Linked DNA regions of Bombyx mori. The main gene of each other region encodes a partner of the protein of the gene in region 2 in a complex. Links are inferred from orthologs where the notes say so. Each region holds a gene or a part of one and is shown on either strand. Other genes may lie near its edges.

Evidence for each region.
Region 1: mediator of RNA polymerase II transcription subunit 13 (region 2) and cdk8 share a complex: the UniProt entries of both Drosophila melanogaster proteins name them as parts of the cdk8 module of the Mediator complex. The link is inferred for Bombyx mori from reciprocal best matches to the Drosophila melanogaster genes skd and Cdk8.

Annotation. Positions count from the first base shown.
Region 1 is NC_085129.1:10,512,936-10,517,381, forward strand, and holds the start of cdk8 (cyclin dependent kinase 8), read left to right. Parts: upstream 1-1,390; 5' UTR 1,391-1,628; coding exon 1,629-1,874; intron 1,875-2,529; coding exon 2,530-2,781; intron 2,782-3,408; coding exon 3,409-3,598; intron 3,599-4,277; coding exon 4,278-4,446. UniProt on the Drosophila melanogaster protein: Component of the Mediator complex, a coactivator involved in regulated gene transcription of nearly all RNA polymerase II-dependent genes.
Region 2 is NC_085116.1:2,028,898-2,032,735, reverse strand, and holds part of mediator of RNA polymerase II transcription subunit 13, read right to left. Parts: coding exon 3,288-3,838; 3' UTR 1-3,287. UniProt on the Drosophila melanogaster protein: Component of the Mediator complex, a coactivator involved in the regulated transcription of nearly all RNA polymerase II-dependent genes.

The DNA.
Region 1 (4,446 bases), on a different chromosome or scaffold from region 2:
TATTTTGACACCACACCACAGATAAATTTAGACATATTGACACTGGCAACTGTCAATTAACAGTATTGTAGTAGTAGTAGTAGTTATATTTTTCCAACTATGAAGGCAAAAGTATCATACCATACACCTTAATCGGTTATAATTTTTTTATGAAAAATGATAATATGAAGTGAAATGAAATGAAGATGATTAATTTGTAACATTAATCAATTGGCACGAAATTAAATGAAATAAGATGAGATGATATGGGATCCACTGAAAAAATCTCAGTAAATGACCACCATTTTTCTGAGATTATATTATTTCATGCTATATCATCTCATTTCATTTCATCCCGGTTGATTAATGTTACAAATCAATCGTCTTCATTTCATTTCATTTCACTCCATATTATCATTTTTCATAAAAATAAGAATATAAATTAAAATAAGACATGACTTAAAGGTCTTAGTTACCCGGACATAAATTACCATAAATAATTTGGCGGGAACGCGAGGAGTGAAGTTGTGTGATTTGTTTTTTTTGTCTATTTAGTGTTTCTTCAGGTTTAAATGTGTATTAACAGTGGCTTATTAATTGTTTAATATCTGTGAAAGCGCACAAATGTGGGAAAATGAAACAAAGCCGCTGAACGTAACTTCTCGGGATCCTCCAAAAAGTCCACTTCAAAAGTCTTAGTGAATGACCACCAGTTTACTGAGATTTGAAATATAATCCCATATCATTTCATCTCGTTTCATTTCACTTCGTTTTCATTGTATTTCATTTCGTTTTCATCTCATTTCATTTCTATAATTTTTCATATTAAACAAAAGTTTTCATTAAATTAAAATAAGACTTGACTTATAAGTCTTAGTTACCAGGTCGTAAAATCCCTTAAAAATATGCATATGGCTACTTTAATGATCACAGATGAAACTTAAACTTTTTGGCGGGAACGCGAGGAGTGAAGTTGTGTGATTTGTTTTATTTTGTCTATTTAGTGTTTCTTCAAGTTTAAATGTGTAATAACGGTGGTTTATTAACTGTTTAATATCTGTGAAAGTGCACAAATGTGGGAAAATGAAACAAAGCCGCTGGACGCAACTTCTCGGGATCCTCCAAAAAGTTCACTGAAAAAATCTTAGTAAATGACCACCATTTTACTAAGATTATATTCATCCTATATCATCTCATTTCATTTAATTTCATCCCAGTTGATTAATCATTTTCATTTCATTTCCCTCCATATTATCATTTTTCATAAAAATAAGAATATAAATTAAAATAAGACATGACTTAAAGGTCTTAGTTACCAGGTCATAAAATCACTTAAAAAAAAGCAGATGAAACCATAGATTATACACTTAATTTATTTGAGAATGAAACTTAATTTAATTATTTAAGCTAGTTTTAGTGTTTTAATTTAAAGATTTAGGCTAGTATAGATATAATTTGCACTCATGAACTAGATATAACGGCTTTTTCACTAATTCACGGAGAATAATGTTATAACGTAGTGATTACTTGCTCAGTGAATAACGTCTTGTATATAACTTGTGAGGGAAGGTATTCAAAATGATTTAAAGTGTAATAAAATATAAATCCTAATTAGTCAGGGATCCAAACTGCATTTCCCGACCGTAACAATGGGAGACAACTTTCAAAATAAGACCATGGCGGCTGTGATGATGGACTACGATTTCAAAATCAAGACTCAAAATGAACGTTCCAAAGTGGAAGACTTGTTCGACTATGAGGGCTGTAAAGTAGGTAGAGGTACATATGGCCATGTATATAAAGCCAGAAGGAAGGATGGCTCCGATACCAAAGATTATGCTTTGAAACAAATTGAAGGAACTGGACTTTCTATGTCAGCATGTAGGGAAATTGCTGTAAGTATAAATACAACATAATTATTTCATTTAAGTAATTTGTTTTTAATTTTAAATAAAAATTTTAAATTTTAAATAATTTATATCTGTATAAATGTGAATTTATTACCATAATAATATGTTCTATGGGGAGTGCTATGAGGAACTGTTTGAAATGATTCCATCATCTCGTTTTTACCATCGCACCGCCGACCACCGAAATAGAGTTTGTCCACACTACCTTGAGCCACTCAGTTCATCCACAGTGTGTTTCCATACATATTTTTGCCATGTACCATACGGCTTTGAAATGAGCTCCCCTTCATGGTGTTTCCGAAGCGCTATGACATGCCCTTCTTCAAACGAGGGCTGTGGAGAGTACTTAACAGTAGGCAGGGGCTTGGCTAAGCCCCTGGCTGAAGTCCATGGATGACGGTAACCACTCACCATCACCATGTAAAAAATTTGCATATTTTGATTCTTGTTTCTATTATTATTTCAAATAATATGTTCATGGGATATTACACCTATTTTGATTGTGTTGTGTTGTATAATTATTGTGTACTGTAAACAAACATTGCATTATCAGCTGTTTTTCTACTTCATATTCGGTCTACAATATAGTAGTGTGGTTTAGATCATAATAAAAAAGTTCGTGTAACAATTTATTTTCTAGCTATTAAGAGAGTTGAAACATCCTAATGTCATAAATCTTATTAGAGTGTTTCTTTCACATACTGACCGAAAAGTCTGGCTGCTATTTGACTATGCAGAACATGATTTGTGGCATATAATCAAATTTCATAGAGCAGCTAAAGCTAATAAAAAATCAGTTATGGTGCCAAAAGGAATGGTGAAGAGCCTCCTCTATCAGATATTGGATGGGATACATTATTTACATTCAAACTGGGTTTTGCATCGAGATCTGGTGAGTGTGATGTATATAGTAATATTTATAATGATGAATCGTTCACATACTATGAGTTCATGTTGTATTGAAATTGTAATTTATACTAAATTAGATAACATAATATATAAAAGTATAATAAATATTATATTAAATAAATTACTATAATTGATAGAAATTCTACTGTTGGCCTGGAAGAGATTAGAAAGACTAGGACGGCAGTCTTACTAATCTCTTTTTGTGTTGAATGATGTGCATTTGTTGTTTTTTTATTTATTTATTACTAGCTGACCCGGCAGACTTTGTAGTGCCTCAATCGATAAATAAAAGACCCAAACTTTTGCATAAAATAAACTTAAAACAAACAGAAGGAATCCGTCCGACGGGGGACATATCAAAGGAAAAACAAAATTGTTATTTTTATTTAATTCCGAACATTTTCATATTTATCTACCTTTTAAACCTCTGGACTTCCACAAATAATTCAAGACCAAAATTAAGCCGTTCTCGAGTTTTAGCGAGACTAATGAACAGCAATTATTTTTATATATATAGATTATTTTGGTGTACCATAAATCAAACTTAATGAATCGATAAATATTATTTTTGTTCAATATCAATATATGTTATTTACAATTAATACTCCAGAAACCAGCCAACATATTAGTAATGGGTGAAGGACCGGAGCGTGGCCGAGTTAAAATAGCTGACATGGGATTTGCAAGATTATTCAATGCACCTTTGAAACCACTTGCTGACTTAGATCCAGTAGTAGTCACATTTTGGTACAGAGCTCCTGAACTGTTGCTTGGTGCCAGACATTACACTAAGGCCATAGGTATATATTTTATTACTCTTACAATAATTCACCTACAGCCACATAAAATTAAGTACTTACCTTTTACTTACTTAAGTAATTTTTACTTAATTGACGTCTACACTTGGCAGGTAAAACACCTTCTCTTCAGCATGGAATTAACAACTTGGTAGCACTTTATTAAATTCATCATTATTTAAATAAATCCCAAAAAGCTTAGAAAATAAAAACTATTATACTATTTTCATTTTTGGATTGTTACTTAACATAGCTAAAATTCATCTGAAATTTCAGTAAACCCGGTCGGTAATTGTGCATTCTGTGAACTACATACCATATCAGTAGTTCATTGTAAACATAAAATATAATGTAATCGAAGAAGAATATAGAAAGATTCCCACCCCATGACACTTGTTCAAAAATATCAGGATATGGGACTGCAGTAGGCCAAGGCGGCACTCAATTATTTTGAGCTCATGAAGTATAGACTCATTGGTGCAAAATATTATATGTGTATTGTAATGTTAAAATGTTGTTCTTTCACGTCAATACAAACCAATGGATTGACATGATTTTTTTTAAAGTGAAAGTATTCATACTGATACTTTTCCTGGACGAAATGTGTAGAGCCACGGTTTAAAACCAAGTCAAAAGAGATGTAAAAAAAAAAGTAATTTAAGAAAATCTCATTTATTTGCAGATATTTGGGCCATAGGATGTATATTCGCAGAACTATTAACATCTGAACCTATTTTCCATTGTCGCCAAGAAGACATTAAAACAAGCAATCCATATCATCATGATCAACTAGATAGAATATTTAATGTTATGGGATTTCCACTTGAAAAAGATTGGGAAGATATAAGGAA
Region 2 (3,838 bases):
GTACAAAGTATTACGAGTGGTTTCTTTAAAACGTGCTCAAATTTTACGTCGGCAATGCGGGCACGTTATTAACGGTTATTCGATTATTTAAACCGATTCTGTACAAAATATCGATCACAAAAAAAAAAACAAAAATATAAACTATATACAACATCATTAAATATTTTCAAATGCCGTAACACATTTTAAAACATTTCATTATTCAACTAGGCATAATTCAGTAAGTCGCGGACGAGCCGCCTCTACATTTAAATAATTTATGTATCGCTCCTCGCACAACACATGTACAAATTGTCTATGGTCGACCGATCGCGTCTACCACTCAAACAAGTAAACATTAGGTACTAAGCAACAAAAATAATTTACAACATCGTTTTGTTCATGCGATCCAATCTGCTGTCCACATATTGTGTATAGAATTGAAGATGAATTAAAGAGTGACACGCAAAGGCTTTCTTCACGCCTCCCAATGTTTCTGTACAGAGAATGTTCACAGCACGTCTCCCTAAGCTTACATTTTAATAATATAATATTAAAATATAAAATTTCATATAACTACAAATAGTCGGAGATTCGACAACACAACAACGTCACGCCGTTTAGTTTGGGCTCCGTTCATATAAAAACGAGAACAACTATTTTTTTAAAAATACAAATGCTACAATCAAACGTGAACTAGGGGGCTCTTTTATAACTATTTTTATTATTATTATTAATTTATCTAATCATAAACTATTGGTGTTACTAATTAGTTATTGACCGGCAGATTTTATTTTTTTATATATCATAAGACAAATTTATATAACTATCAATCGTTTAGAATATGTTCACCGCATTGCTCTTATGTAATTTGAATTGATTACTTTAGTTGGATGTGTGCAATGCGGACGTTAATGCGTGAAGCACACGTTGAGCTTTGTTCCCTTGTATAAAAAGAGTGCAATAGTATACGGATTCATGATTTTTAAACAAACGAAATTCAATTTAGCTAAACAAATAGTTTCCAAAAATGTAAACACATTTAACCGTAAAAAAATCGTACAAAATGATTTAAAAAAAAAAACGTGTCAAGTTTACAATAAATAAATAGGTGTAGATGAGAATTCGCAAGACGTGTGGACGTTCGCTTATGAAACGCTCGTAAAAATATCTATAAGACTACAAGTATCTAACTCCTTTGGTAATGCATACCGGTTTAAATATAATAACGAAATATATTACATTATACACATTTACATACAGCACAACAACGAATACAACACCTCCATATAAATTGTGACGTTCACATTTGAGAATTTTTTTTTTTTAAGTTAAGGCCAAAGTTTTTACGCGTCGCTCGATCATCACATAGTCGACGAAGCCTATATAGACAAAAATTATATTCTTTTATTATAAACTATTTCACGTTTGGATAACTGATAAACTGTATCTATCTATCACCTAATATTATTGCTATAAAATTTCACATATTTGATAACAAAGAGAAAAAAAGGCCTTCACAAATACTTATTTGGTGTTGCATTTATTTAAGGATTCTCATCGGCCGCGCCAGACTGCGAATCCGTACGCAATCGATATTCATTCAACGAATAATGTAAAAATCAAAACCTCGACAAACATTTAACGGCCGCCAATCAAATAAAATATACTTGCAAATGAAACTACGTAAAATGAGGTTCGTATTGTGGAACAAGTGAGCGGGAAGTCGTGTGAGAATAATGCAAGACTGCAATGGAAGTTGGGTTTTGACAAATCCTAATGAATCGAGCGCTACAAGCAATCTCGCTCGTCACGTACTTTTTTTTCTTTATGAATACGCCAAAATACGTTATTTTATTAATAAAAGAAAAAGGAAGAATTGAGTAATTAAAAAATAATAATTTTCGTATCTATAACAGTTGGCAATGTTTCCTCCGGTTCTTATAAAACTAGTCGAATTGTTGAATCACTCGAACACATGTTCCGTTTTAAGATTTTTGCCTTGAAAACATCTTCCGAGTATTAATCACTTTGGATACGAATTTAGACTTTAGACAATACAAATTCAATCTGATCAATCAATGACCTACATCTTTGTGAGGTAGGAATTTGTCAAATACCATAATAATAATATTATGAAATCCAATCGTACATTTAAAACTGCGTTGTCGATTATTTTCAATTAGAAATAAATTCACTTCGATAACGTACAAACATTGTGAAGGCGTTATGGTTTGTTGCCGACTTCAGCGGAGTCAAAGTGACACTAAAGTGATCCAAATATTTAGAATTCATTTCATTCGTTAGTGAGCACACGGCTCGTTTCATTCGCGTAGTTGGTGCATTATTCGAAACCAGACGATTTTCATTTCAATGTCTTAATCATGATTATAAATAACTGGCCTTCTGTAATATTTCCTTGGTACAAAATTCATTATAAAACTGTTTTAATACTTCTTCTTATATATAATATAATACATACAGTTAGATAATTAACAAGTTAAATATTTCATCGATTAATTTTCCCTAACATTACGACGATGGTTTCAATTTTCATAATAATAAATCGAAATGAAATATTTTTTCCAAAAACTTGTATAGCTTTACTACTCATTATACATTAAAATCCATTTATTAAATTCATGTAGGAAAAATATCACAAAATAAAGTAAACGTCGTTCCCGTTCAACCAAAGTATATGTAACCTCTGCATCAAAAACATGGATTTTCATCATTAATGTAAAATGTATATCTTTGATGTTCGATAGTTTTGAAAATGTTGATCGATTGAACTTTCAATCGGGGTAATTGTAGTTGTCAATTTCTTTTTAATAATCTATGTATGCATCCTCCAAAATTTGTGATAATTCTATGACCAGAAAATGCTTAAACAGGATATTGGGTCCCGATAATTGATAATTATTTTAATACTGCTCGATCGGAACTTCACATAATTTAACCGTTAGGACGGTCAATCATCTGTTATCGTGAGTATTGTGAAAAAATTGATTAAATTAATTCATAGTGCAGGGTGAGTCAGTACAATGAAGTTCATCACAAATTTTCAGGACGCTATTTTCTGATTATTTTAACTTTTATTTTTATTAAGTGAACACTTAATGTAAAGTAGATACTTTACATTAAGTGTTCACATTGAAAAAATATATATATTTTTAAGACAACACACCGAAACATTCAATCTCACGTAACGACCTAATTTTCACTATCATCAAACTAATTGAATACAACACGGCCCAACAACGACCGAAGGCCCTAATGGTAACCATGAACAAGAGCGCGGGGGTCGCTCAGCCCAGCGCGGCCGCCGCGTGGTACAGCTGCATGAGCACCTGCACGTGCAGCGGCAGACAGGACAGGCGGTCGTGCGTGCTCGTGTCCAGCGCCAGCCACGACAGCGCGTTGTAGCCCTCCAGCACGTACCGCAGCACGTCCGTGGTGGTCTGCGAGTCCAGCGGGTGGGCGGGCTGGTCGCGGCGCTGGGTGAAGGCCGCGTAGTCGTCGGCGCCGTGCACCGAGTGCAGGTGCAGCGCGGTCTTGAGGAAGGCGGGGCAGGCGTCCCGCAGGTGCGCGCAGCTCGCCCACCACCAGGCGGGCATGCCGGCCAGCGGCGCCGTGGACACGGTGTAGCCGAGCGCGAGCGGCTGCTGCAGCACGGTGCCCACGCGCTCCTCGCGGCCGTCGTCCCGCAGGCGCTGCTGCGCGAGGTGCGGCGTGGGGCTGGCGGCGTCGTCGTCGGCGCGGCGCGGGCTGCCGGGCGCCCACATGTTGTTGAACATGTCGCAGTTGAGCAGCTCGTCGATGTGCTCCCCGTCCTCGTCGTTGATGTCGAGCAGCATCA